Linked DNA regions of Cricetulus griseus. The protein of the gene in region 2 binds, or shares a complex with, the protein of the main gene of each other region. Links are inferred from orthologs where the notes say so. Each region holds a gene or a part of one and is shown on either strand. Other genes may lie near its edges.

Evidence for each region.
Region 1: Prmt5 (region 2) and Wdr77 share a complex: the UniProt entries of both Homo sapiens proteins name them as parts of the methylosome complex. The link is inferred for Cricetulus griseus from reciprocal best matches to the Homo sapiens genes PRMT5 and WDR77.

What each region holds. Positions count from the first base shown.
Region 1 is NW_023276806.1:51,034,975-51,049,983, reverse strand, and holds the end of Wdr77 (methylosome protein 50), read left to right. Parts: intron 1-598; coding exon 599-740; intron 741-1,006; coding exon 1,007-1,056; intron 1,057-3,550; coding exon 3,551-3,621; intron 3,622-3,743; coding exon 3,744-3,798; intron 3,799-4,274; coding exon 4,275-4,346; intron 4,347-4,980; coding exon 4,981-5,089; intron 5,090-5,611; coding exon 5,612-5,680; exon of another isoform or gene 5,681-5,740; intron 5,741-5,835; exon of another isoform or gene 5,836-5,972; intron 5,973-6,390; coding exon 6,391-6,550; 3' UTR 6,551-7,141; downstream 7,142-15,009. Other genes in the region: Ovgp1 (oviduct-specific glycoprotein), read left to right, coding at 9,363-9,390, 13,607-13,636, 14,024-14,228, 14,914-14,970. UniProt on the Homo sapiens protein: Non-catalytic component of the methylosome complex, composed of PRMT5, WDR77 and CLNS1A, which modifies specific arginines to dimethylarginines in several spliceosomal Sm proteins and histones.
Region 2 is NW_023276807.1:209,723,362-209,738,612, forward strand, and holds Prmt5 (protein arginine N-methyltransferase 5), read right to left. Parts: upstream 13,520-15,251; 5' UTR 13,474-13,519; coding exon 13,364-13,473; intron 12,762-13,363; coding exon 12,643-12,761; intron 12,377-12,642; coding exon 12,291-12,376; intron 11,300-12,290; coding exon 11,165-11,299; intron 10,702-11,164; coding exon 10,589-10,701; intron 10,464-10,588; coding exon 10,414-10,463; intron 9,118-10,413; coding exon 8,954-9,117; intron 7,825-8,953; coding exon 7,663-7,824; intron 7,234-7,662; coding exon 7,156-7,233; intron 7,067-7,155; coding exon 7,008-7,066; intron 6,925-7,007; coding exon 6,802-6,924; intron 6,719-6,801; coding exon 6,543-6,718; intron 5,609-6,542; coding exon 5,499-5,608; intron 5,281-5,498; coding exon 5,187-5,280; intron 5,014-5,186; coding exon 4,897-5,013; intron 4,612-4,896; coding exon 4,547-4,611; intron 3,853-4,546; coding exon 3,700-3,852; 3' UTR 3,137-3,699; downstream 1-3,136. UniProt on the Homo sapiens protein: Arginine methyltransferase that can both catalyze the formation of omega-N monomethylarginine (MMA) and symmetrical dimethylarginine (sDMA), with a preference for the formation of MMA.

The DNA.
Region 1 (15,009 bases), on a different chromosome or scaffold from region 2:
CCAGGCTGGCCTCAAACTCAGAGATCCACCTGCCTCTGCCTCCCGAGCATTGGGATTAAAGGTGTTTGCCACCACACTGTTGTATGTCTATCTGTATTCTTAAATTAGTTAGGGCTTGGCAGTTGAGAAGTAGGACATTGGAGATTGAGCCTCTCTGGCAGTCTTGAACATTAAAGTATTGCAAGGCATTTTTTAAGCAGTCTAATCAAATATTTATTAGTGTCTGAACCACTGGAAAGATATACCTCACTCAACTGTGCTGTGTAAGGCTTTATCTTTGTCTCCCTGGGAACCAATTTCCCAGTGTCTTTCCTCTGGAAGCAAAATAATTGCTATTATATCGATTTCCCTGTCTTTTTCTAGGAGATTTCCTCACATAGTCATCTGGGCTGTTGTTAGGAAAGCAGTAAGGTAACAAAACCAAATGGCCTGGAAGTGAGCTAAGCCCTTTAATGATGTGGTCTTTGCTTTTACAGGAACAACTTTTTGTTGACTTTGTAGCAATGCCTGCTTGAGTCCTAGGCATGAATTGCCACCTTGGTCTAACCCAGGCTTGTGCTTCCCCCACCTACACTTCACTCCACTCTGTCCTCAACAGGTGCTGTTGAATTGTGGGAGCTAGATGAGAATGAGACACTTATTGTCAGCAAGTTCTGCAAGTATGAGCATGATGACATTGTGTCTACTGTCACTGTCCTGAGCTCTGGCACACAAGCTGTCAGTGGTAGCAAAGACTTCTGGTGGGTTCCTGTTTTCATTACTCCCATCTCTAGGCTTCCTGTGGGTATCTTTCTATCCTCTTTAATTTCATTAAGTAATGTTTGGGGCTGTTTTTAGAGTCTAGTGAGTAATGGCATGTCTGTTTCCTTATTGGTGTGCATTATAAATAAGACAACAGGTTCTAGGAGGCAGATAGGGGACATGTTAGTTAAACATGTTCCTGTTTGAATCCATTTTTATGTTGATAGTGCAAGTCAAGATTCCTATTTCTTTTTTTGCATTGTAGCATCAAAATTTGGGACCTGACTCAGCAGATGTCATTGAATTCATATCGAGGTAAATATTCCTTCTTGATTGATACTGGCTATAGTTATCTTTTATTTCATCCTTTGGGAACTTTGAACTTTGTTTGGATAAGTCTGTGTTCTCTTGGTTGGCTTCTCCTTACCCCTAAACTACAGTCAGGGTCCTTTATTTGCTGCCTGTCATTTCCTCTGTTCCTGTTTTTGTTGATGGTGTCACAGCCTTTTCACTACTTGGGTGACTTAATTTATTGCTGTAGAACACCACCATGATCAAGGCAACTTGTAAGAAAAAGCATTTAGTTGAAGGCTTGCTTATAGTGTCAGTGGGTTAGCCCATGACCATCACTGTGAGGAGAATGGGGGCAAGCAGGCAGGCCTGGTGCCTGAACTAAGCAATTACATCCTAATTCACAAGCGTGTGCATGGCATGGGCTTTTGAAACCTCAAAGCCCGCTCTGAGTGACACATCTCCAACAAGGCCACACATCCCAATCCTTCCTAAATAGTCCACCAATTGGGAGCCAAACATTTTAAACCACAGTGGCCAACAAAGTCTATCTATCTTCTTCTTATACTCGGGGTTCATCGGGTTCTTTGAGTCTCCATTTGGTCACTTCCCTTCTGACCATTTCTAACATTTTGTTTACCATCAGGCTTTATCCGTAGATAGTCTCACTCATCTCTTTGCCTGTCTTCTGTGACTCTTGGTGCTTCATTTGTTTCTTGTGTCCTGCAGAACAAGATTCCATTTTCTTGTCATCATTGGAGCTTTATTATGACAATCGGCTGTGCACCAGCTTAACTCAGACACAGCAGAGCCTTGTCCTTCTCAGTCTCCCCCTGGGTGTGTGTGTGTGTGTGTGTGTGTGTGTGTGTGTGTGTGTGTGTGTGTGTGTGTGTGTAGTGGAGACCAAAGGTCAACGCTGGAGACACCTACTCTGTTTTTCAAGACTGATTCTCTCACTAGGACATGGAACTTACAGATGAGGCGGGGCTGACTGGCCAGGGAGCCACAAGGGTTCAGTTTTCTCTGCCTTCCCAGTGTTGGGCGTATAAGCAAGTGCCACCATAACTTGACTTTTTACATGGATTCTGGGGTTGAATTCAGGTCTTCATGCTGGTATTGAAAACACTTTACTGATTGAGCCATCTCTCCTCCCCAAGACTTTTGAATCGTAAATCTGTTGAATTTTCACCTCTATAAAACATCTTCTCAGGGCATTTCATCACTTTCTTTAATGTTCTTTTTACTTTGCTTCATTAACACAACCAGCATTTGACTTTAATTTGGTAGCAATTATTTATGAATTTTGAATTCATGAAGATGGATAGTGAGGATAGAAGGATGGAGAGACATTTAGTCCTTAAGGCAGACCATTCTGAGTACTCTGGAAGAGCTGGTTAAATGACCTCAGTGATTTCTTCAACCTCTACCTAGCAGTGATTTTTTTTTTTTTTCACATGTAGACTTTCTAAAGGATTTAAAAGCTATACCCTCCCACATATTTTAAAAATTGTTAATGAAGAGATCTAAGTAGGGGAAGTGAGATGCTTTCTTTGGTGAGTAAAGGTACTTGCTGCCAAACCTGGAGACCTGTGTTTGATCTTTGGATTGCACCTGGTGGAAGAACAGAACTGACTCGTGCAAGTTATCCTCTTACCTCCATGTGTGTGCTGTGGCACATGGGCACACATACACAATTAATAAATATTATTAAAAATTAGGTAGTTGACAAGAGGTTAAGTTTTTGTCATGTTTATTGTTACACATTTTTTTCTAAGCATGTGTTTTTCAGTGTCAGTAACCTGCTTACAGAAACTGTTTACAAATAACCTAATGACGAAAACCAGTTTGTTCTGTTAGCAACATTAGATTTCACTTTCTTTTACAAAAAGTCCAGCTTGGTTTATTAGTTCAGATAAGCTAATTGGTTATGTTCTTCTGACAACCATTTTATTTTTCAGTTTTCACTGAAACAGGCAAGTCACAGAGCTGCCCTTGTATTTGTGGGGTGACTGAGACAGGTTCAGTCCCTTCTCTGTTCTCCTTTGAGAGCCTTAGATGTTCAGGCTCTGAATGCTGGCATGGGAAGCCCTGGGCTGGAAAGGAGGTATGCATTCTACCTCTAAAGTGGGAGAAGCAAAGCTCAGGCAGTTCATTTCACTCTCAAGGGAAAGCATATTATAATACTCACATTGCTTAAAACATAGTGCCAGAACTCTCAGATTTTTCTATGCAACTTAGAGGCCTGCATCTCCATTATGGAAACTGTTACTGAGTCAGTAATGGCCTTTTCCTTTGAAACATCCATACTGCAAATTTCCTTCCCCATTCTTACTAAGCCTGTAATTGGACTTCATTGTCCCTACCAGTTCATCATTTTCCGGAGCCTCTTCAGGTTTTCTAACTATCAGCTTTCCCTCTGGTTGTAGTTTATAATCTGTCATATTATTTATTGACTGACATGATGAAAGCAGGCCTGTTTCTGACATTCTCTTTTTTCTGCCATGTTTCTCCTTTACAGCTCATTCAGGACAGGTCACCTGTGTTGCTGCCTCTCCCCACAAAGACTCTGTGTTTCTTTCATGCAGTGAGGTGAGATCTAGTCACTTCTTTCCAACCATAGTTGAACATTCATAGGCCCAAATCCCTGGTGTGGAGACTGGCCAGCAGCTGTTCTTTGGATTATGAAACCCTTTTTTTGTTCCTCTTCCTAGGACAGTAGGATTTTGCTCTGGGATACCCGCTGTCCTAAGCCAGCATCACAGATGGGTGAGTCTGAGACCAATGGTGAGGAGAACATGGCAATAGGAAGCCAGTTGGAAGAGGCTGTCTTTGCCCAGAGTCAGAGCAGAGTTGCCAGATGCCCACCCTCTGTGACGTCATTTTCTGTCTCACTGAGGCTCTGCTCACCATAGTGCAATGAGTACCAAGGGGAAGGGCTAGCTTCCAGGTGGGTGGTTACTCTGCAGAGAGAGACAAAAGGACTAGGGTTATTATTGTTGTGCTTTAAATGTATACCCCCAAATGACAGGAGACTGAATAGATGTAGGTCATGAGGCTCAGGGATGACGACATGCTTGATTGCCCAGGTCATGAGGCTCAGGGATGACGACATGCTTGATTGCCATAGCAGCATTTAAGAAACCCAGTCAAAGTGTTCCCAGGACTTTGTGACTTCTCTTGAAGAACTGCTTCTTGTAGGTTGTGGCTGCTTTTGTTCCAAACCTCCCTTTTGTCCTTTCCAGGCTGCAATGCTTCTGGCTACCTTCCTACCTCCCTGGCTTGGCATCCTCAGCAGAGTGATGTCTTTGTCTTTGGTAAGGCAGCATGACATATGGACTCTGAGAACGGGAGGATGGGAAAGCGCTACCTTCGAGGTGTACACACTCTTGTCAACACACTTCAGCACTACATGAATTAGAGCAGTTTTGTTTAGCTTTGGGGGACATAATTTTTTCCTAGTAGATTGGATTCCTCATGGATCCAGCTCCCTTATTCTCGGCATGATTAGAAATCATTGGGCCACTTAGCAAGCAGCTTTGCTGTTTAGGGAATTATGTGGGTATGACTGCATATGGTAACAGCTTGTAGTTAAAGTAATAAGTATCCAGTAATTGTCACAGCACACAGTAACTTGCTTATCCTACCTTACAAAAGGAAACTGGTGCTCTGGGTGGTGAACTTGTCCATATCTCGAGGAACTAAGATTCATGCAAATCCAGGACTGGCATATCAAAGCCTAAGGTTTTTGTTGTTCTTTTCTCTCCTAAGACAGGGTCTTTCTATGTAGCTCTGGCTGTTCTAGAGCTTATTATTTAAATCAGGCTGGCCTTGAACTCAGATAGATCCTCCTGCCTCTGCCTCCTGCATGCTAGTATTAAAGGCGTGCTTGACTGTGGACAGCCTGAAGTGTATGTTCTTAACCATGGTAACATGCTGTTTCTTCAACAGGTGATGAGAATGGATCTGTCTCTCTTGTGGACACCAAGAATGCAAGCAGTACCCTCAGCTCAGCTGTGCACTCCCAGTGTGTCACTAGGCTGGTATTCTCTCCACACAGGTACTGTTTGTCATCAGGGGTTTGGAAGGGATGGGTTGGGCCAGTGGTGAGGGGTAGGAATGGAGTGATAAGGAATGTATCTATTGGCACAGCATTAGCTGGTTACATTGTTCCTTAGATGGAACAATGTAAGTACTCGAGCTTGGTCTTCCTAAGCTAGTCAGTACAGTTCTTATTAGGGTTGCATAGTCTAAAAACAGCTGAAATGTGATCTCATACCTGTTCAACACAGCTTGATTGATGTTAGGCTTCTGGCACCATGTGCTTAAGGAGCCTGATTCTGGGTAATTGCTAATGTAGAGAGGGACCCATTGGGTAGTTGGTTACCAGGGTGGTTTCTATGAGTACTGTCTCTGTTCCATTTTTATTGGAATTATAATGGCAGGAAGACCTTAACCCAAAGGTGGGTATCAGGCTGCCTTTTCCCCTGGCTCAGTTTATGGTGAGTTTGGGGCTGGTGCAGTCAGATTTTGGTTATGGAATCTAGGCTTTATCTTCTCTCCCCTTTGTTCCCTCTCCTAGTGCTCCCTTTCTGGCCTCTCTCAGTGAAGACTGCTCAATTGCTGTGCTGGATTCAAGCCTTTCTGAGGTGTAAGTTTGAAGTAGAACCCTGTGGTTAGGAATCAGGCATCAAGACCAATGGGCAAGCAGGTCTGTTTTGTCTTCAGGAACTTGCATGTAGAATTCTTCCTTTGTTGGGACTGGAGAAAAGCTCAGTAGTTAAGAATACTTCCTTTTGTTCCCAGCTTCCACATCCGTCTGCTCCCAGCTGTCTGTCACTCCAGATCGAAGGCATGTGATGCCTCTGCTTCTGTGGGCCTCTGCACTTGGGTGCACATACCCACTTACACATTATTAGAAATAAATAGAAGAAAATTCTCCATCTTTGTCTGTAGAGGTTCTCTCCATTTGTGTCTGTGTGTCTGCAGAGACTGAACACTGGAAGCAGTCTGATTGTAGGCTAAGTCTAGCTAGCATCCCAGCTTCACGGAGGGAACCCCTGCTGTGAAGTGAAACCTGCTATAGAGAGAAAGGCATGGGAAGGAAGACCCCGGTGTACATCTCTCTCTGCTATGACTTCCTGCTTGGTTGTAGATATACTACTTCTTTGCTCTGCATACTATTTCTTCCCCTAGGAAAGTAGACTGGATTGGATTGAACATCCACTGTCCTGGTGATAAGCTGTACAAATGGTGAAATGTTTAAAAACAATGTGTCCTGATTATGTTAGGTTTTCTTTCTGTCTTCTTCCCACCTCGGTTTTTGTGTTATCTCTTACCACACACCCACTTTTGTTCCAGGTTTAGAAGTCGAGCCCACAGAGACTTCGTGAGAGATGCTACGTGGTCTCCACTTAACCACTCCCTCCTTACCACAGTTGGCTGGGACCATCAAGTCATCCACCATGTTGTGCCCATTGAGCCTCTCCCAGCCCCTGGACCTGAGAATGCCTCAGAGTAGAATGGATTTCAGAAAAAAAAAAAAAAAATAGCCCTCCACCTGCAAGAATCTGCTTGCCTCTGCCTCCGTATTGTGAGAGCACAGGAAGGAGCCTTGTAGAGCATGTTACTCCCTAGTCCCGTGCAATAAACAGGCAGACTCTCAGCCTGAGGGAGGCTGCAGCCCATAGTGTCTAGGAGGGAAAACTTCCTTTATATAAATGGGTATATGTGTTCGAGAGAGCACATGTGTGTGAGTGTATTAAGTAGTTTGGGGTGGGGAAAATTATTCTTCAGCTTTCCCAAAGCACTGCTCTTTATTTCCCACAAAGTGAGAACAGTTTTATGCTTCCCAAGTCCAAGAATTGGATATGTTGTCTGGGATATGGAATGTGAGTATCCCTAGATTTGTGGGAGTGGTTCCACCACTCAGAGATGGGGTAACTTATTTTTATATAGAGTTTAATTCATTATGGGGAATACTTCAGTCCATAAAAGTCCAGCACAGTATACCTTGAGAAGACACAGAAATACCACAGTTTTGTACAAATCCATGTTAAACTGAATTTTCAGATCCATTTTCTTGGTGAATAAATTTGGCTGTTGCAATGTAGTTCTTGCTCACCCTTTGCCCTCCTCTGTGTTGTATGAGAGAGATGAGTGTTTTCCTGTCCTAGATTTCATAGAAAGTTTTAGGGATGATTGAACATTTAAAGGGGTTTCAGTGAAGTCAGAAAACTGACAGGGTTTCTTACAGAGAAATCTTTGTCATTTTTCCCACCTAAAGATACCCTGAGACCTGATTGCCTCTGGGCACCTTCCTCTGGAGATATGAAGTCTGAGTGCTGTATTTGTGAACTATTAAGATTTAAGATCCATCATTAGGGAAATTCTGAAATACTGAAATGTGAATTAAAGACTTGGGTCATGGCCTTTTCCCCCACCAAAGCTGTTGTTACTTTTTGTCTGCTTTACTTAGGTGAGTCACCAGGATGTTGTCAATTTTACTGCCGCTGTCTGTATTTTACCATTCCTGAAGTAGTTAGTTAAGGGAGAACTTAAACATTTATTTATACTTGGTGTTGGTGGTCTAGCCACTCCATTTAGAGTTCATGATAAATAACTGATTATATTGGAGCTGAGAGTGACTGGTGATAGATATACTTTGGAGTGTTTCAACTTTAGTTTAGGAGAAAGTAGGTAAGTGGGCCTCCTGAATTCTATATTTGCTAGTCATGAGGCTCTTGTTATTACCTGTGAGTAAAACATTTGAATTTGCATGCATGGTCAGCCAGGGCTTGAAAGAATAAGCGTTGGTGGAATCACTCTGCTGCTCAGAGATAAAGCTTGTGTTTTGTGGTCACTTAGGCACGAAGGGCAGATAGTGCATTTGCATGGCCTGTTTCTTAGGCTTAAGGCTGATAGAGGGGGGGAAAAAAACTTAAAGAAAAAAGGCTTAAAAAAACTATGTTAGAAGGTCTAAAATGAGACCAAAGAAGAGAAACAAGTTTTTGAAGAATTGTTACTACTTTTCATTGTTTAAAAATGAAGAGTGGGGTAGATGAGACCACTTGCTACTCTTTAGAGAACCTAAGATTTAAGTTTCCTTTTAGGTCTGTATTGATAAAAAGTAGTTCACATTGACTAATGCTTGCCACAGGTGTGCGAACCTAGTCAAAGCCATAATTAGCAACAAGCATAATCTTGGGACAATTGTATATTATGAGCAGAGAAGATAGTTGAAAATTTAAAGACCTGGAAACAATCAGGAATATAGGGCTGGAGTTGTGGCAGGTCATTCATTGTCTTGAGAATAGTTGCAGTCCTGCAAGGCCCAGTGACAGGGAACAATGGGTACATTTTGCTTGTTAAAAACCATTCAGTTTTCTTCAGGTTAGTGTTACTGTTCAAGTGTCCATTGAGTGACTGCATTTCCTTAGCTTTGATATCCATACTTGGAAATCTGTTAGCCTGACCACCACTTAGCTGCTGATCCCTAGCCCACTAAGATCTAAGAGTTTTTCATAAAGTGTCGAGTGCTTGGGACATGAAACACTGAAGGTCTGTGTAGTCTCAGAAATACCCAAAGTCAGGGCCAGGAGATGGCTCAGTGTGTAAGAGTGATGACCTGAATTCAGTCTTGGACCCACATGGTAAAAGGATGGTACTGACTCTTCAAGCTGTCCTCTGCCCACCTATATGCACATAAATAAAATTTAAAAAGTACCTAAACTCAAAACTTCTTTGGGCTTCTATATTTTTAGTAAATAAGGAAGGACAGGATATTGGGGAAGAGGCCTTGTGTTCTAAAACTCAACAACTTCACAGAGCATCATAACATTGATGCTTTTTAGACGGAGAGTAAAGAGCTCTAGATTTTAAAAAGTGTATTTGGACAGATTGAGTGTCTTGTATTTCCTTTGTGTTTTGATATTGCTTGGCTTAGCTTTGAGTGCACCAAGTAAATATGAATAGAAAAAGACATGTGTATTGTGAAGGCTAACAAAGTCCAAGTGTGGGAGAAGCTAGTGAGCTGGTTATTGCCAACATGGTCATACTGGGGTGGGGGGGGGGCAATTCAGAACCTGTAAATTGCTTTTGTTTGGGAAATGGTAAGCAAGCTCCAGGCTCAGTCTCAGCAACTTCATCTCTAGTCTATACAGTACTGTTGGGAAGTAAGCAAGGCAAGTAGACCACTGTTGGACATTCAAACACATTTTCTTTGTGAGGTTTCCCATAACTGCTGGGATTTGGACTTCCTATGGAAGCATGGATGTTTTAATCTTTAGTGTGTGGCAATAGGACAGGTGTACCCAAAAGAGGCTGAAGGAGGAATGAGCTGCTGGAAGGGAGGAATAACTGGTAAGTTACACAGAACACAATGCATGATCCTACAGTCTTAGCTTATGTTTAGTGTGGTCTTCCACTTACTGTGGAATACTTGTTATAAATGGTAATCTGCTATTCTTTTTGTAATGTCAAAATTCAAAAGCTCTGTAAATAGAGTTTAGTCCCTAACATGGTTTGGTGAAAATCAGCCAATGTCATTGGTTGAAAAGTCACTCAAGATAACAGATTTCATTTGACCCTGTGATGTTGAGTGCCAGATTCTAGGCAAGCATTTCATTTTAGAGGCATTGGGCTAAAAGAATTAAGAATTAGTTTCAAATGAAACTTCCACTTTGGTGGTAGTTCTCTTGTGGATTCTCACCAACTCCATGAAGGTTGTACCTGAGAATACATTTTATGACCACAAGCTAAATTAGCTTCAGGTTCTGCAGTCTACAATTTATCAGAAATCATGACATTGGCCAGGCTTAGAAACATTAAGCTGGGTGTGCCTGGTTTCTGTGGGTGTACATATTCCAAAGGCAGACTGCTTAGCTTTTGGATCTGTAGCTACAGAGGTAGTCATGGCTCTTTCAGTAAAATGCTCAGATCATCAGCCTGGGCTATGAGGGCCTGTCCTCAAAAACAAAACACCCAAAATAAGAAACCTGGAACAATATGCTTAACTTGTAAATCCAGTGTTATAAAGTCTTAAATCATGGTGCATACCTCAAACATGTCATAATAAAAGACAAGGAACATGATGTGTGAAAACATTGCTTTATGTGATAATGCACATTTTCTAGTATAATAACCAATATGAAGAGAAGAGATAAAAGTCCTCATGCTTATCCAGCAATCATCCTTTACAATAAATACTGGGAAGCAGCCTTTACTTTAAAGATGAGGTAATTGGCTAGGAAATGCTCATTCAGGTTTACTGTGAAGCATGGTCAATACTCTGGAATTTTGTATCATTCACACAACTGATTTAACTTAAACATGCTCCTGCAATTCCTCCACAATGTCAGTTTTCAGTGAAACGCTTTGGTCAAAGAAAGGGCTTCACATATGGTCCTGCCTTCATCTCCATTACCAAGGAAATATGAGTGCAGTCATGCTGCTTTGCAGAATTCTTGTTACCCAAGTAACATATATTAGTATATATCTTTCCCTGTAAGAATAGGCTAAGCACTAAAGAACAGATTCTAAATGCCAGTGCATGTGTCACAGAAGCATTGGCTATTTTTTGTTGTTTGTTTTAAAGCAAGAACTGAAGGAATAAAATTGGGGGCAAATGGACCCAGCACATTGATTTTCTATTTAATCCTTATTTAATGTGATCATCAACCACTATGTATACAGAATCAGAATTGCCAGCTTTTTGGCATGGTCATGCCTGGATTAGGCAGAGGTCATTGGTGGCAACCATTGTTCTGTCTTTGCTTTCTCAGCATCCTAGCTACTCCTGTGGATGTGGAGAGATGAGGTGCCGATTGTCAGGCAAAGTATACTGACAACTAGTGCTCCTGGCAGCAGTGTGATTTGAAGGGTGCAAATCTAGCAGGGCATCTCAGCCATGCGTAAGATCTTGAAAGGCAGGAGTCACAGTGGAGGAAGGATGTATTAAAAGGGAACCAGTAGAGCATCAGACCATGAGGGAGCCTGACAAGACTGAGGCCCCAGAAATCAACCTTAGTACCAATAATTTATAGATCAGGTTGCAAAGTCATAGATTCAATAACAAGAATTAGGGCACACAAACAGTGACTGAGAAAAGCAGGGTCATTAGAGTGAAAAAGAACATCGGGGAGTCATTAAACCACAGGGATAAATTATTGCCTTGGGAGGCTTGCTGATCTGCTTTAGGTTAACAGTAGCCCAAAGAATTGAAGATACATGAAGATACATGAAGGACCCCAGGGATGATACAGAGCAGGAAGGGGCCCTGGGGCCTGTTTGATAATAAAGCCAATGCTTTCTCACTGCAACCATTGTGGATTTCCAAGAACACACACACACACACACACACACACACACACACACACACACACACACACCACTCCATTTGTCTTTGTTCTTGGATATCTAAATACATTTCTGGTATAAAAATTTTGAGTTTCTTGCTTATTTCATTCCTTAAGTGAAGGACAGTTGTTCAACAGATTTGACCATTGGGCACTGTGATTTCTTTGAATCCTCCATTGGGATCTGTGTAGCCCCTCCTGTGCGTGTGCAGCAGTGTCTGTCTCAGAGAGAGGGCACACAGACCATCTTTAGATGGTCTCAGAGAAAGAAAACCCATGGATTAAAGCAACAGCTGATGTACAGACTTTTTGTTTTTTAAATATCAGAGGTATTTTCCAGCTTTTTTTTTCCTCTTTCAAGTTTTTTTTTTTTTTAGATTTATTTATTATGTACACAGTGTTCTGCCTGCATGTATGCCTGCAGGCTAGAAGAGAGCACCAGATCTTGTTATAGATAGCTGTGAGCCACCATGTGGTTGCTGGGAATTGAACTCAGGACCACTAGAAGAGCAGCCAGTGCTCTTAACTCCTGAGCCATCTATCCAGCTCCCAGATTTTATTTTTTTAACCTTTGCATTGTTGTTGCATTTAAAATTGGCTCCTGGGTGTCCATAATCATATTCATATTCCTGAGGCTCAGGTTCCATTCTCATGGTTGGCTCATATACTTGTCCAAATGTTTTCTGACGCTTAAAAAGTTTCAGGTTTTTGTTTTTTGCCTGAGGAAATAATGGCTCTATCAACTCCAGGCCCACTAGCCATGCAGGGCAACCAATAGCTGCTGCTCACGAGTGCTGTCCCCTCCCTTACCAGTCCCTCCTGACTACTGTCAGGTGACAGTGAAAGGTCAGAGAACCAGGGGAGAAGGACTAGTGCAATAGCTCTCCAGTCGGACCGCACATTAGACACTGGTCTGAACTCTCTTTGTATCATGTAGAGAACACACTGGCTGTTTTAGTGTGTTTACTCCACCTGTTGACATGAGCAGCCTGGTGAGTATCAGTGTTTGAGTTTGAGCATATCCTGCTCTTCTGGCCAGCTTCCTAATAACATCTATAATGAATTAAGCTCTTATTTTATGCAAGCCACAATTTTCTCACTATCTCTCCAGTCCCTATATATTCCTGGGAGATAAGAATGCTCTATTAGCTCAAGAAAAACAGACTTTCCTTTATGTGTGGAAACTGCAGGGGCTCAATAACTCATCCAAAATTATATAACTTATAAGTGATATAACAGGGATTGCTACCTTGGCTCTAAAGCCAGAATCCAAAGCTGAAGCATCAAAGCTTCATGATACACTGCTTTTCTGATTATGGACATACCCCATCATGCAGTGTTTCTCCTCCACCTCAGCTGTGGGGAGTTGGATACCAGGAAATGGGGCCAATTGCCAGACAAGACTCAGGAACATTGCCCTTGTCTTTGTTATAGCCTGCGGTGAACACTGACTCCCTGCTTGTGTCAGGCCAGGGATGTGGCTTTGTTGGCCCTGAGAACTACAGCTGTTCCTGAGAGGGAGTAGAAGTATTTCTGAGGTCACTGTGACTCTTGAGCCATCGTTTCTGGCATGGCATGTGTGTGTAGCTGGGCTCTCCCCATGTTGCACATGGGCTAGCTCCTATTAAAGGGTCTTGAGCTCCATCCCCATAGCTGCCAGACAGCTGAGATGGGGAGGCTGCTGCTGTGGGTTGGTGAGTATGGTGAATCCTAGCAATGCCACATAGTTAGGGAGATAGCAGTTTACTATTTCTCTGGTGCCCAGTAAAGCAGCCTGAGACTCCGAGTCTGGATGAGGCAAATATGAGATAGATGGAATAAAGAACCAGAGGTACTCGGAGGAAGGGGCCGAGCAGCAATTCTCCAACCTAGTTGTTTTCATGATTGGGCTCCATCTTGGGCCAATTTATTCAGAATTTCTGAGAAGAGAGCTTTGATATGAGTACTTTTGAATTTACAGCCAGAATTGAGAACCCCTTAGCTTGTACATCTGCCATTGTCCCTATGCAAAGTATGAGCAGGTACATTTGATGATTATAGAAAAGGGCTTAGACCAGCTTCACTGTTAACTTTGAAGGAGAGGAAACCAGTGCCTGATGTGTGTCACCATGTGTGTATCTGAGTGTGTATATGGTGCTGAGCTGGAGGGGGCACTTGCTGACTGGGGGTTTATGGGGGCAAGCCACACTGCGCTAGTATATGAATTCCTTTGTTTCCTGCAGGGCTGGTTCTTCTGATGAAACACAACGATGGTAAGGAAACCACCTTCTCCCCTCCAAAGCCAGGGAGATTCTCTGGCTAGGAAATCTCCATTCAGTGTCTCCTGGACCCCTGCCTGTTTTGGCTCCTTGCTCAGAGGTTATTGATCCAATACAATTCAGCACAGGATGCTGGCCACTTGCTGTTTGTATGGCTCAGTAGGTGCCAGGATCTAGACAGATAAGGCATTCTTTCTTCTCTTGGGCCTCAGCAGCAAGGGCAAGGGGTCCAGGGGCATGTGGAGGAGGTGTTGGTATATGTGGGAGGAATGGACTGTTACAGTGGCCTGCTCTCTTTGGCTGTGCTTTCTCTACCCCCAGAAGCCGAATTCCCTCCTTGCCCCATGATCTCTGCTGACTAACCCTTGTTGTCCTTGCCAGGTACTGCCTACAAGCTGGTGTGTTATTTTACCAACTGGGCTCACAGTCGGCCAGGCCCTGCCTCCGTCTTGCCCCGTGACCTGGATCCCTTTCTTTGTACACATCTGATATTTGCCTTTGCCTCAATGAGCAACAATCAGATTGTTGCCAATAATCTCCAGGATGAGAAAATTCTCTATCCAGAGTTCAACAAACTCAAGGAGAGGTATGTTAGATGTGCAGTTAGGCTCTCAGATTTTATAGCTAGAGGAAAATTAAGCCTATTTCCCTTATTACTCTTGAATTCCCCTGATTTCTCTAATCCTACATTTCTCTCTGATCTGAGTGCTTCTTACTTCAAAGTTCTCTATTGACCAGCCCCATGAGCTGCTTCTTGCCTCGATGGCTTGGGAGTTATGTTACCTGTTCTTGGATGTCTTCACACTCCTTTCTCCTGGTAAACTCTGGCTCACCCTTTGAGTCCAGTTGTGAGGGATTAATGCTGCTAAAGGGCTTCAGAGAGGTGAGCGGGAGGCTTGCTATGTGTTTGCTGCTGCATTTCAAACAGTCAAAGGCACATAGTCATTGCTTAGTGAATATTTGTTGAGTTGGAAAATGAGTGACTAGGAACATTTTAGACTTTGTTTTCTGAAAATATTATTATGGAGAAGTGAGGGCGCTTGGGACACTTTGGGTATTCTTGCTGTGCAGAGCTGCAGTGGTCTTCAGATTATTAGCCTCTGTTTTCTGTACTTCCGTGGTCTCCTCCTTTCTCATGCCTTCTCCCGTTCTTCTCATGTCCCCTTCTCCATTTCCCATTGTTTTTCTAATACACAGCAGAAATAAGAGCACTGACTGCAGCTGCCCATAGAGTAAGGACCTACTTTTCCTCCTTTCCCCCTACATTCCAGGAACAGAGCCCTGAAAACACTGCTGTCCATCGGAGGGTGGAACTTCGGCACATCACGGTGAGCTGCTCAGTCACTGTCTTCTCTCTGAGAGGAAGA
Region 2 (15,251 bases):
ATGAGCAATCACCAAAAAAAAAAAAAAAAAAAAATCTTTCACTGAAGTTGAAGTTGACAATCCTGCATATATGAAGTTTTCATTCATAGCAGTTTAAAAGCACAGACATATATAGTCATGCACTGCATGACATTTCTGTCAACCATGGATAATACACACCTGAGTGATCCCAGACTTTGTTTAGTGAAAAATCTTTTTTTTTTTTTTTTTGGTTTTTCGAATCAGGGTTTCTCTGTGGTTTTGGAGGCTGTCCTGGAGCTAGCTCTTGTAGACCAGGCTGGTCTCGAACTCACAGAGATCCACCTGGCCTCTGCCTCCCGAGTGCTGGGATTAAAGGCGTGCACCACCAACGCCCGGCTCGTTTAGTGAAAAATCTATCACAGATAAATACACTATGATGTTCCAATGTGTAGGTACTCCTTTGCTGCTTATTTGTATAAATTGGTATGCCAGACCTGGTGGAGCATGCCTTTCTCAGGTGGATCTCTGAGTTCAAGGCCAGCCTGGTCTACACAGTGAATTCCAGGACAACCAAAGCTACACAGGGAAAACCCCATCTGGGGAAAAAAATTTAGCAAACTTAACTGGATTTTTTTTTTTGTTCTGTTTTGTTTTGGTTAGATAGTGTCTTACTATGTTGTCCAGGCTGGAGTATAGTGGCTATTCACAGCACAGCCCCCACTACTAATCAGAAAGGAATTTTGAACCTGTCTTACTTACTTTTCTATTGCTGTGATAAAACACAATGACCAAAACAACTTATAGAATAATTTATTGGGGCTTACAGTTTCAGGGGGTTAGTCCAGGACCATCAAGGTGGGGAGCATGGCAGTAGACAGGCAGGCATGGGGCTAGAGCAGTAGCTAAGAACTTACTTTCTGATCCACAAATAGGAAGCAGAGAGAGCTAGCTGGGAATAGTATGGGGTTTTGAAACCTCAAAGCCCACCCCCAATGATACTCTCCTCCAATGAGGCTACACCTATTAATCCTTTTCAAACAGTTCCACCAAATGTGGACTAAGTATTCAAATATATGAGCCTATGGAGGCCATTCTCATTCAAACTACCACTGACCCACTCTGTTGCTTGTCCCTCCTTAAGCAATTCAAGTGGTCCTTCACTCCCAGGAAGTTACCACCAAATTGATGCTAGAACTTGTGGTGATCAGTGGCAGAGTGTATTATAGCCCTGAACTCCGGGACTGAATCAGTCCTCCTCCCTCAGTCTCACCCTGCCAGGCCTGACAATTTCATTGGGTTTAGTTGTGTTTTTCTAGAAGTTCTAAAATCAGTAATGTTCTAAATATTATACATTTTAAGGTGGTAATTGTCAAGACCTCTCAATGCCCTAACTTATGGGTCAAGATCCCTTAGTCATGTGTCTGAGTGTTTTGGCTGCATGTCTGTGCACCAAGTGTGTGCCTACTGCCTATGAAGCTCCAAAGAGGGCAACAGATCCCCTGGAACAAGAGTTATGGGAGGTTGTGAACACTATGGAAATTGAACCCAGGTTCTCTGAAAAAGACAACTAGATTTCTTAACTGATAGCCACCTCTCCAGTCCTTCAAGGGGCATTAAATCCCATCCACTAAATACTGCAGGCTATTCTTCCATCCCTGCTCCAAAAATCACATTAACCACCCACAGTCAAAGCAGTGCCTGTACTTAAAAATAAGTCCTTATTGCCAAAGGGGCAGAGAAATGCTTAAAAGCCAGTCGGCTACTTCAGGAAGAATTTACAAAATGTTGGTGTTTGAGGGATGATGGCAGCACCTGGTGAAGTCATGACCTGGGCCAAGCACATCTGAGGTGCTCTGGTAGGTGTTTTGGCAGGTGTTCATCACTCATTCCTTAGTTAAGTGACTTGCAGAAGGAAGGGGAAACTGATGGGAGGAAAGACTCACTTACTCCCTCCATATAGATGCTGATGGTACCTAATTGAACACCTTGGGCAGAGCCAACAAAGGATGTCCGTGACCACACCTACTGACTTGAAGAGTGTAGGATCTGTTTTCTTGGAGATGGTTTTGAGGGCCCCACACCTCCATCCTGAGTGGGCAGCTACCTAACCCTCCAGACCTCACTACTTAGGACTTCTGTCCCAGTCATTTAGTCCCAAGTAAACACACATAGGCTTATCCTAATTATAAACTGCTTGGCCAATGGCTAAGGCTTCTTATTGGCTAGCTAGCTCCTAATTATTAACCCATTTCTATTAATTTATGTATCTCCACATGGTCTTTCTTGGCTTACCAGAGAATGGCTTGGCATTCTATCTTCTTGGTACATGACACTACATGACACTCTCTGGCAACTCACTGTGTTCCTCTTCTCAGAATTCTCCTAGTCTGGTAGCCCCACCTATACTCTCTGCTTGTCTACATCTTACCTGTCCATTGGCCAAAACAGCATTATTTGTCAACCAATAAGAGAAACATATATTTACAGCAAACAGAAGGGCATCCCCCATCACTCAAATTATTGCCAGATTCCGAGGCTACACTGCTATCCCTATCAGCACCCCACATGACCCCCTACTGCAAAGGTAAACTGAGACTATTCCTCAGATAATACAGATACTGCAGTAAGTATTCTCTTCTAAAAGAACTGATGTGGCCAACCCTCACTCCAAAACTCCTGGAGACTTCAGCTGCCCAATCCTGCACTATCTCAAAGTTCCTGGCTTTTAGAGAGCCAAAGTCAGTACCAATGCCATTTCACTGTACCGACTTCAAATTTCCCCTCTGTAAAATGGACAATTGGACTAACTACTCGCTGGAGAAGCTTGGCAATCCATCTAAGGCAGGCAGAAGCTAGCTAGCCTCAGTCATGCTTCCCTGAAGTGGCAAAGGCCACTAGTCTTTCATAGAGAATAGACTAATGGATTTAATGGACCAGTCAGAAAAAGTCTACATCTAGAAGTCCTGGGGAGGGAATGTGGGTGGGATATGGCAGACAGACTCAACTTAGGACCTCACAGGTTACCACTGAGTACCCCATGCTGGACTACTGAACACCCCCCCCCCCAGCTCTCACTCAGCTTTTTAAGTCCTTTGGTTCTCATGTAAGGCAAGAGCACAAACCTGAACATGCCTAGATTAAGTGGATGGAGGGATACAGGCAGGGAACAGCAGAGTAAAGCAGCAGAGGCCATAACTTCACTTTATTTGTTTCCTTCTTACACAAAACCATCCAAAAAACAACAGAATAAGGCAAGGAAAAGGCTGGAAATTTGTTCAATGCACATGTTCTCGGGGCTGTTCCTCAAATATTTTCTTTTTTCTCCTGACCCCTGCTCTGAAGGCTGAGTACCTGTTCATGTTGCTTTATATCCAGCACTACTAATTCTTCATGCCCTAGCCAGAGGCCTTTGAAGATTGGTGGCTTGTGTCCCGTCTTTTTTTTTTTTTTGGAAACAGGGTCTAACTTGTTAGGTAGACCAGCCTAGCCTCGAATTCACAGAGATCCACCTGTCTCTGACTCCAGAGTGCTGGGATTAGAGGTGTGCACCACCATGCTTGGCAGTCCTGGAATGCCTACCCCTTGCCCACCATGGCACAAGGTAGGAAAGCAGACTGAACCGTTCCTCTCTGACGGGTGAGGGTCTCACAGATAAACTGTACCAGGAGCTGTTCTGCACCTTTTGTGCTGTAAGAACAGAACTCAAAGCGCTTCCAAGGCTCAGCATTGCACACAGCACTAGAGGCCAATGGTGTAGGAGCGGCCAGTGGGGTTGTGAATAGAAGAACAAACTGGTGCTGTCACCGCCCACTCGTACCACACCTTCTTAGAATTGCTGCATCGCCAGAAACGCACACAGATGCTCTGGCCTTCACGCACCGTGATGGGTTGCTGTAATAGGAAAGACAGGGAGGTTCAGGTAGAGCTGATAAACTATAAACAGCCAAGTGTAGGGTACAAACCTATTAACCCCCAGCACTCAGGAGGATCAGGAATTCAAAGTCAACTTGGGCCATAATTCCAAACCCCATACCAAATCAAACAACAAAAGATAAAAACACCGAAATATTCTGACCTTCATAAAACTTATCTACTGTGTCAAAATATAGAGCACTCAGACAGTGAACAAAGGGTAGTGAATGCTATGAGCATGTACAATAAGCCAACCTACTCTAGGAGGCCTGGAAAATGAGCTGACAGTAGGAATGTTCCAGGAAACCTAGGTCAGTTAGTAGGATGTCGAGATGAGCAAAGCAGAGACAGAGGGCTGGGAGGCAGGAAAAATCTACCAAACTAACTCTTATAACACTATTCCAGATTTTCACCTAAGGGCAGTGGGAAGGCACTGAAGGGTGTAAGTAGTGAGGCAAATTCAAATTAGAGTTGTAAAAAGTGATTCCTGACCCAGGTAAAGACTGGACAAGAGTGGTCAGAGATGTGGGGAGTCCAGGTTAAGTCACTTAGGTAACCCCAACCAGAGCAAGTGACATAGCAGAAAGGGGTCACAGCCAACTAGCTGAGGGACAGGAACAGAATACCACTAGCAGGTGTTCCCTGAGCCTACTGCCTTAAAGGTGATTCCTACCTTAAGGGGAAAGAGAATGGGGAACCACGAGAACATCCCAGGAGAGTGGGTCTCTGGACGGATACCTGTGGAGACAAAACAGTGGAACCTGAGGTCTCCCCTCTCCCTCTTACCTTGTTGAGAAGTCTCTTCTGTGACCATAACAAGGAAGAATCAAAGATCTCCAGTCCCTGACACTGGGCTCCCACTAAATTAGTGTGCTGGTCCTGAAGTAATACCAACTAATATTCAGCCTCAGCCTCAAAAGCTCCACAAACAAGCCAAGCTTTCTGGAGCAGTCCCAAGAATGTATAGACTGAACAAAGGTCACCCCTGTTGCGATGCCCTCATACACTGGCCCAGACACTCACTCAGAGTGATGTCCCGATAAAGTACAGTCTCAAAGTAGCCTGCAAAGCCATGCAGCACCGTGTTCACCTCCACAGGAAACTCCAAGGTACAGTAGCGGTTGTTGTCAATCATAGGATCTGTTAGGAAAGACGGGGGTGGATGACAAGGGGAGCCAGAAACCCTAGACAACTTGGTAAAACTTGAACAAGATCTAGCACAAGTCAACTAAGATGCGCAGACTTGGGATAGCAAGGGGAGGAAGCGGACAGCTCACGCCCTTCTCAGTCAGGATGGCCATGCATCAATCTACCTCGGTTGGGATGGCTGAAGGTGAAACAGGGCTGGGGTGCAGACAACTGGTGGAAGTTGTGCAGCCGAACCACGTAAGGCATCTCAAACTGTGCCTGTACAGAGCGAGAAAGCAGGAACTGGAGAACACAGACAGGAGGTACCAACCTCCCCAGAGGTCAAAGAAACCCCAGGATCAAAGAAACAAAATCTCTGCTTCACTTCAACCACTTTCTTCAGTCCCAACTTCTCTTTCACTTCTTCATCTGTTCCACAGGAAGAAGACAGAGGCGACTAAAGAATATCCCCACTTTCCAGAAAAGCAGCTTTTTACCTCAGGGTCACGATCCTTTTCCCGACAGGCTCGGACCTCATTGTACAACTTAGAGGAAGAAATGGGAGCCAGGAAGGAGGTATATTCTCCAGGGATGCTCACACCATCATCTACAGAGCAATAGGGTCAAATCAGTTTCCAGAGGGAAGGAAATGGCATGTTCGCACTAACTGCAGGCTCAATCAATACAAGCCACGGCTGCTATTGGTGTGGCAGGAAGACTGGATGATGCCCCATAGGGATTCCACTCTTAAGTTAATTTAGTGCCACAGATTAAAATGTAATATAGAGTCATGCACTACTTAGCAACACAACAAATTCTGGGATGAATGTTAAACTACTATGTGAAAACAATAGTCCTTACATAAACTAAGATGACTGTGGTGTCCCTGATGACATAATCCTATGGGACCACATGGACAAAGCCCACTGCTGGTGAATATCATTAGACAAGGCATGATAGCACTCTTATCTGGTGGTTTTGAAACTTTGTGGGGATCATAACACCCCATGAAAGTTCCCAGTGAACATTAAGCTCAAGTACCCTCCTATGGTAGAGATTGTACCCAGAGCCTCATTTTAGGTAAAAGCTCTATGGCTAAGTCCTACCCTGGCCCTCAAAGTACATGCATATTATACAAACTCAGGGAGCCCACAGACCTTAGGTAAAGGATCTCTAGTCTATCCACTTACAGCTCTCAGAAGTTTTGCTATCTGACATAATTTTCTTTCTTTTTTTTTTCAAGATTTATTTATTTATTTGTTTGTTTATTTAATCTATTATATTTACAACATTCTGCCTCCATTATGCCTGCACAGTAGAAGAGGGCACCATATCTCATTATAGATGGTTGTGAGTCACCATGTGGTTGCTCAGGACCTCTGGAAGAGTAGTCAGTGTTCTTAACCTCTGAGCCATCTCTCCAGCCCCCCGACAATCTAGCTAGCAGCAGTTCAAAGCCGTATGATCTGATACAAGTCCAATTCCCAGGGCTGCTTCCCAGACCAACCAGCAACTGCCTCACGCACCCAACCTGGACAAACCTTTCAGGAAGTGCTGTGCTCCATCCAGACACTCAGGCGACAGCTCGTTGTCAGCAAAGGAGCCCAGAAGCTCACTGACAATGATGTCTGCTTTCTCGGGAGCCACCCATTCCCGCATGTCTGAAGAAACAACCGTCACCTGGCTCCCCCATTCTTCAAACTGCCAATTCTCTAGCCTGAAACAGAGGTGACAGAATAAGAGCCGGAGCTGGAAACTGGGACCTAGGACAAGCTGCCTAGCAAGCAGGCTGCTACTCACGTCACCACAGCATTGGGGTTCTTCTCCACAGCATACAGCCTTATCCGCCGGTCAGCCTGCTTGGCTGCCCGGAGAGACGCATTCACCAGAGGGCCTCGGCCTGCGCCCAACACCATCAGTACCCTAAGAGAAGGGAAGTGTCAAGCAAACTGAGCAGGTGGACAATCAGGTGCAGAGCTCCCTGGGAACATAGGGAAAGCACTCACTGGACATTGGTCTCCTTTTCCTCTTCTGGCACTCGGTCGAGCAAACATTTGTAGATAGCCTGGGGGGAAGGACAGAAAACCTTACAGCTACAATCCCTTCTTCGCTGATCTTACCCTGTGCTTTGCCACCCTGAAGCCAACACTATACCTGCTGATATTGAGAGTATTTGATGGGGTCCTTTTCAAATACTTCGTATGTCTGAGATTCCAGATTGTCCATCAGTGGCTGATAAAAAGAGGAAAGAACAAGTTGGCCAGTTAGGGGAAATGGTCAAGATATCGAAATCTCCCATTGCTTCCTGAATTGTAATAGGATCCTGGACCACTTTCTCTAAGAGATATCTCTTGCTATTATTATTGTTGTTGTTTTAATATTATTACTTTATGGTGGCTTTTTGGGTATTTTTTTTAAGTTAAAAAATATTTGTGTATGGGTCTTTTGCCTATTTGCATGTCTGCACACCACACGCAGGCAGTGCTTGAGGAAAGGGCACCAGAAGCATCAGATCTCTTGGGCCTGGAGTTACAGTTGTGAGCCACTATGGGGGTGCTGGGAATAGAATCCAGGTCCTCTGGAAGCAAAGGCAGCACTCTTAACTGCTGATTAACCTCTCTAGTCCCTCCTCTCAACTCTGTAAATGTACTCCAAACCTACCTGAAGTGGGGACTGCAGGTAGTCTTCATAGCCTTTGGCAAAGAGTTCATAAGCATTGGGTGGAGGACGATTTTGGCTTAAGTATTCCAAGTACTGGAGGTAGGAGCAGAACTCCTTCTCTGAGTGGTGGTTGGTGCCCGTGATGATAAACTGCACTTCCAACTGTGAGAGAAGTCAGATCATGAGACCCAGGCCACAACCATGACTCTCAGACATTATGGTTTATGACCAAAAGCCTAAACATAAAATAAAACCCACACCAATAGTTCTCCAGCATCAATTCCCCCAAAAGGGGGCTCTGAAAAATCTATGAAGTCCTTGTATGCTATATAAGCTGCCTAAGCATCATCCTGACTCAAAGGAGAGGATGCCACAAGGGAGAGGATCCCTGCAGGTGTCATGGCAGGCAGGGAAACGATGCACAAAGAGATAAGAATGAAAACTCTTAGCCTGGCTTAGGCTGGATCAAACTTTGAGAGTCTGATGCCAGGCAGTTTATTGTCAAGCATATTTAAACACAGTAAAAATTAAGAAAAAGTTTCCTGTTATAATACAATCCCCAGGGCACAAAACTCAAAGTATCTGTCATTTCTTCCAAGAAGACTGGTTCTAGAGATAGGCTACCTGTACTAGCTTAAGGGCCTAAGAAAGGCTCTGGCATGGTCTCCTTCACACAGCTAGCATAGAGGTCATTTGGACTACTAGCCACATCTGGGAGCTTGGGGGAAGCCCCTGGCTATGTAGCTAATGTAAGGGTCATTTAGACTACTAGCCACCTGCGGTTCTGGTTGTGGAGACTTGATATGGCCTGGCCCAATAGATAAACAGGTTTTCCGTCCTTCCCCTAGAAAGGACAATCCTGCATGCCTAACATTTCTGGCTTCTCTGGTGATCTGTAAGTGCAAGATCTTCACACTCCCACACACAAGGGCCTTCACACTCCCTGTAAACACACAAGGGCCTTCACACTCCCTATACATACACAAGGACCTTCACACTCCCCCACACAAGGACCTTTAATTTCTTACTTGTTTGCCTGTTTGCCTTGAGACAAACAGGCCCTGGCCGGCCTGAAAGGCCACTTTGAGTTGGAACTCAAGAGATCTGCTTGCCTCTGCCTTCCAGTGCTGGAAGTGTGCGTCACCATACCCAACCTTTTACTTTAAATACTTATGTTAACAAATTTCTCATAAAGTTTGGTTCCTTCTCCAAAAGTCACCTGACCCTCCTCCAGAGGGAAAAGAAGTCATGGACAAGTAAGTTAGGAGATTCCACTGGGCCACTCACTCACCTTGAGGAGTCGGAAGATCAGCCTTTGCTGCATCTTAGAAAGAACAGGAAATCCCTTCTTGTTGGTTAGGAAAATGCTGGTGGGGAGGATGGCTGCTTTGATGGGCTCTCCAAGCCAGCGGTCAATGACGTGATTAGATGGGAGGTCAGCCCCAATTTCAAGAGCTACACAAACAAGAAAAAGGCCTATCACCTGCTGTTAGGCAGGCAGCCCTGTCTTACTGGGTACAAGCGTTTTCCTTCTGTTGAAAACTGGTGGTTGAGCCCAGGGAAAGCAGCCAAAATACCCAGTACACACACAGAACTCATTTCTTTGTCCCCTTTTTCAGACAGGTTCTCACTGTATAGTCTTGGATGGCTTCGAACTCACAGAGCTCCACCTCTCGTTTGGGGATTAAAGGTGCATGAAAATAGAATGGTCAGTGCTAGTTCTATTTTCAGAGTGGGTCTCAAGTAGCCCAGTAAGTACTGAAACTTCCTGTGAACTTCTGATACTCCTAAGTGCTGGGATTTCAGGCATGTGCCATTACTCATGTGTGCTATGGATCTTACTTAGGGCTTCATGTATACAGGCAAGCCAAGTGCTCTGCCAATTGCCTTACATCATCCCCCCCCCAAATTGTTGATCTTCCTTTTTTTTTTTTTTTAGATTTATAGATTCTCTTTATTTATGTGCATGTATGTGCAGTTACCCATGGAGGCCAGAAGAAGTCATCAAATCCTCGGGAGCCAGAGTAAATATGCAGTTGTGAGCCCATCAATGTGGGTGCTGGTATCTGAACTCTGGTCCTCACAATAGAGCTCTCAACTGAGCCATTGCTCCAGGCCTGAAATTACTGGATTTTTTGTTTGTTTGTTCTGAGACAGGGTTTCTCTGTGTAACAGCCCTAGCTATCCTAGAACTACTAGCTCTGTAGATCATATTGGCCTTGAACCCACAGGTATCTGCCTACCTCTGCTTCTCAAGTTCCTGTATTATTAAAGGCTGGAACTACCACCACCTGGCTGTTTTTGTTTTAAAACAAAACAACCACAGTCTCTCTATGTAGCCCTGACTGTTCTGGAACTTTCTAAACTGAAATTCTTATTTTTGGTTTTTGTTTTCCAAGACAGGGTCACTCTGTGTAGCCTTGGCTGTCCTGGAACTCTGTAAACCAGCCTGGCCGCAAACCCATAGAGATCTGTCTGCCTCTGCCTCCCAAGTGCTGGGATTAAAGGCGTGTACCACCACCACCGATTGGCTATTTGGGGGTTTTGCTTTGTTTTGTGAGATAGAGTCTGTCTACATAATTCTGGCCATCCTCGAACTCACTAAGTAGACCAGGCTAGCCTTGAATTCAAAAAGATCTACTGGACTCTGATTCCCAAGCCCTGGGATGAAAAGTGGTGGGCCACCGCACCCAGCCTGCTGATTCTTACTCTTACGGGGTTCCTCCTATCCCAGGACCCTTGTGCACTTACCTACTGCAATTCTCTTGCTATAATCACACAGAGTCCTGAAGTTATGCCACCTGCCCAGATTCAGAAACAAAACACTGTCAAATGCATATGGCTTATGACTCAAGGAGCTCTTCTACCAGTTCCTCAATATTCCTTACCCCACCCCATACAGGTAAAGCGCCAAGAGGAGACATACCACATCCACGTCTTCTCTTCCCCACTGTACTCCTCTGTGTGTGTAGTTGGGACATTCTCAATGACATCATCTCTCAGGTCCTCTGGAGCCACCAAGGGCACCCTCATCCAGAACTGCATATGAACAGTTACCATTAGTTAGAACACTGTTTTCAACTAATTGGGTCCAGAAAGCTTCCCTCAAAAGATCTTGATCCAGATCTCAAGTTAATCTCTTTATATGCCCTTCTGAATTTGATTACATCCGTGTTTAATATCTTATACACATCCTTATGCAAATACCTCCCTTGTCTTTTATTTTAGCTAGAAACAAGCATTTTCTATGATTTGGCATTGTTTTATAGTGCTAAGACTCTTACCCAGAGGCTCATGTATGTTAGGCAAGTGATTACCACTGAGCTGCACCTCTAAGCCCATAGATTCTGCTTGAAGCTCTCTCCATGCCACTTCAAAATTGGGGGTTGGGTGGGATGGGCAGTACTGACATTTCAATTCGGCCAAAAGCACTGGGGCATAACTAGGCAAAAGTCACTTCACACAGCTGACTATCATGATACTCAGCAGCACAGAAGCCTACCATGGAAGAGTGGTGGCCAGTATGGATGTGGTTGGTCAAAACTCTGGCCAGGTTTGTGTTATCTTCCTGATTCAGGGGCAACAGAAAAGCTGGAAGACCCAGATATGCCCCGAAATTCAGCTCCTGTAACATAGCCTGAAACACATGGAAAGAAAAAGCCATTAAGAACTAGGAACCAAATACTTCCTGGGTAGAGAGGAGTTTAAACTGGATCTGGTATTGTGGCCCAGGCTGTCAGGAATTCCCTATGTAACTCAATTTGGCCTTGAATTGGAGGCAATCCTCCTCACTCAGCCTCCACAGTCCTGGAACCCAGCTTTGTAGACCAGGCTGGCCTCGAACTTAGAGATCCGCCTGCCTCTGCCTCCCAAGTGCTGGGATTAAATGCGGATGCCACTACTGCTCAGTTATTTTTGTCTTTTTGAGACAGGGTCTGTCTACATAGTCCTGACTATCCTAGAACTATGTAGACCAGGCTAGTCTTGAACTCAAACTATTTTTTTTTTTTTTTGTTTTGAAGAGGGCAACAGGATCATATGCTCACTTCAGCAGCACATACATTAAAACTGGAATGAAATAGGGTCTTAGTATGTAGCCCTGACAGGCCGGGAACTCTCTCTCTGTAGACCAAGCTGGCATCCAACTCAGTTCGAGGATGGCCTCTGCTGAGTTACAGATGTGAGTCACCACACCCAGGGTCAGACTCTTAACTGTACTCTGATTTACCAGGTTCTGGGGAGTGGGAGTTACTCTCCTAACCCAATTTGATGACAGAACTAATTTCTTTCCTTTTTTCCCACCCTCCTTTTCTTTTCTGGCTTGGAACTCTCAATCCTCCCTCATTATCTTCCGGTGTGGAATGCCTCCCCAACACTGAGGTTACAGGTAGGGGTGGGTCACAGCACCTAGGTCAGACCTAGGTCAGAGCCAGGCGTTGGTGGCGCAGGCCTTTAATCCCAGCACTTGGGAGGCAGAGGCAGTCGGATCTCTGTGAATTCAAGGCCAGCCTGATCTCCAAAGCGAGTGCCAGGATAGGCTCCAAAGCTACACAGAGAAACCCTGTCTCGAAAAAAAAACCAAAAAAAAAAAAAAAAAAGGACCCCACAGAAAAACCAAACAGCCTTACCGCTTCAGAGTTCCTTCGGATCCTCTCCACTTTGGAGTCTGGACGAATCCACGGAGAAAGCTTTCCCACAATTAGCGTATTCCAGTCTGCACTCCCCCACCCAAGAAAAGACAAAGACTCAATGAGGTCTGGCATTTTCTTGCTCAATTTCTAGTTCTCAGCAGGAAATAGAGTAGAGATGAAAACAAGCCTTTTTCTCTCAGATACAGGGATAGCCTGAAGAATGGGGGAGTTACCTATATCACAGGGGTTAGCCAGTACAACCAAGTCAGAAAAGGAGGGAATTGAAGACCTATAAAGCAGAAGTTATTACTGCCTCTAACAATCAAGGGGCACACGGGATGGTCCCTACCCCTTCCTGACAGCAGTAGGTCTGATCGTGTCTGGGGGCCAGGTCGATTCTTAGCAGGTTCCTGAGTGAACTCCCTCTTGAAACGCGGGTGGAAGACAGGCATGCAGAGGAAATCAAACCTACAACCGCGACAGACTCAGAATTATCATGGAAAGTGAGGACCCAGAGATCAACCAACTGGGTTTAAACTATCTTGATTTTGCACAGTTCTATAAAGCCATCAGTCACCCCCCGGGGCTACTGAGTTCAGCCCATCTTGGGACATTTAACTTTCTCTGCACTGTGCATCAATTTCTTCCCAAAACATAGCCATGAAAGATGACTGAGAAAAGAAGGACATCCAAGGCAAATAGCATTCTTTCTTCCCTGATAACACTGGCTTTCCAGGGCTATCAAATCCAGATTTGTCCCAATACTGCCATGCCTCCCCCAGCCAGATTAACCTCTTCTCTCGTTTGCCCCCTTAAAATACTTCTTTCTCCTCTCAAATAATCTTAGCCTCCAAGGCCCTAGACGGACTGACTCGCGTCCCGCCTTTAATTTACCCAACAACTCCCCTGACTTTTGAACTCGGTGACCACACGCCTCCCAGAGTTTCATCCTCTCGTTCCTGGAACCGAAGTCGTCCCCACTCAAGGAGTAATGGTGTCTCCAGCCCTCATCCCCTGCGGGGAACTAGTCTGCCCTCCTTGGTCCCCAATTTGGATCCCGCATTCCTCACCCCTGCTTGGCCACAGCACCCAGTGTGTCAGCTATTTCGGGGACGCAATTCAGGTCCCTCCCGCTGGACACGCGGCTGCCACCGGCACCTCCGACTGCCATCGCCGCCATCTTTTCCCTCGCGCGGCCCACGCCGGGATTCCTTGCTACTAGGGACCAATCACAACGCCGAGAGCAGTCCCCGGGAGGCGGGACAAGTCGCCTTAACAACCAGAGCGTCTTCGCAGCTCCCGAGCGGAGGCGGAGGGACCGAGCGGCCGCTCCCGCCAATCCACAGGCCGCACCGTGACGTAGGCGTGGCTCCCCGGCTCGACCAATGACAGGCCGTCACTGCTGAGGCTCTGCAATCTCCCAGAATGCCGCATCCGTCTGAAGCACTCCGGAGAAAGACTACAGGTCCCATGCAACCCTGCAGTTAGCCTGAAGTACTATCATTGGGCTACCACAAAATGTCTGCGGGCCAGTGGCGCAATGGATAACGCGTCTGACTACGGATCAGAAGATTCCAGGTTCGACTCCTGGCTGGCTCGTTGGGACTGGTACTCCTTTATTTGCATCCCTTGCTAACCCAGTGTTCCTAAACCCCACTAGTCCTGTAACGTTTTGCTCTTGTCTCACAACCGCTGTACTTCCTTCACTATCTGCTTACGCTGTCATTTCCAGGTCTTAACCTGGTTCGGTATTTCAGCCATCCCATGCTGGCGTGTCTCATTCCTCTTTTCAAAGCTGTTTCTTGTATAATTAAGTGAATCTGAGCATGAAAATTTCGGTGAATGGACTATTAAGATGAGCTTTGTCTCATTACTATGCTTAAAAAATACTACACTTAAAAAATACTCTGTAGTAACTTAGCCACTAATTCCTAGTGATTCTGTCTCAAGCACAGATGTAAAGAAACACCTGCCCGCGCGCGCACCCCTCAGAGAAAAGGAATTCATGAGCGATTACAGTGCCCAGGAGTCATGAAACTGCCTCGCGGAGGGCCGAGAGAACCTACGTTTCCCCCTGTCAACAGCTGGAAAAGAAGGAAATGGCACAGGCAAGGAAGAACCTCGGAAGGGAACGGGAAACACGTACCTGAGGCAAGAAGCCCACAGACGTTGAGGACCCTCCAGGCCAATCTGTGGAGGCATTTTCTCAGCTGAAGTTCCCTCTGCCTTGTGTCAGCTTTGACAAAACAAACAAACAAACAAATAAACAAAAAAGTTAAAAGGCACTGACAGAATTCAGGGACTCGGTAGCAAGGAACCGGGAGGGGGAAATAGTAATGCCACGCAGCAGCGTTTTGCCCTTGAAGTGGGAGAGTTCAGGGAGAATCGGATTTGGGGTTCGGGGTGCAGACTGGCCATCCAGAGAGCGCCGTGTGATAGAGAGCTGCAGGGACAATGATCTGAACCACACGTATTTGGACGTTTCCAGACAGGAGTCTTGACTAGTGAGGTCACCATGGATTATGGAGGACAGTGCTCTTAGCAACACAGGAAGGCGTGGAGAAAATAGGCTCTAAGGAACCCTGGGTAACGTAAGTCCCCCCCACCCCGCACCCCAAGAACAGCCAGGAAACCAGAAAACCAAGAAAATTCACAATGAGGGGTTGAGGATGCTTTTGTACCACCACCACCACCCACCCATCACACCAACAACAGCAACCCATCACACCACCTTCACCACCACCACCACCAACCCATCACACCACCTTCACCAACAACAACAACCCATCACACCACCACCACCATCACACCACCCCACCACCCCCACCAACAACCACCCCACCCCACTCCCACCTTCACCACACCACCATCACCACCACACCCCCCACCCCCACTCCCACCCCCACCTTCACCACCACACCCCCCACCCCCACCTTCACCCCACCCACCCCCACCCCC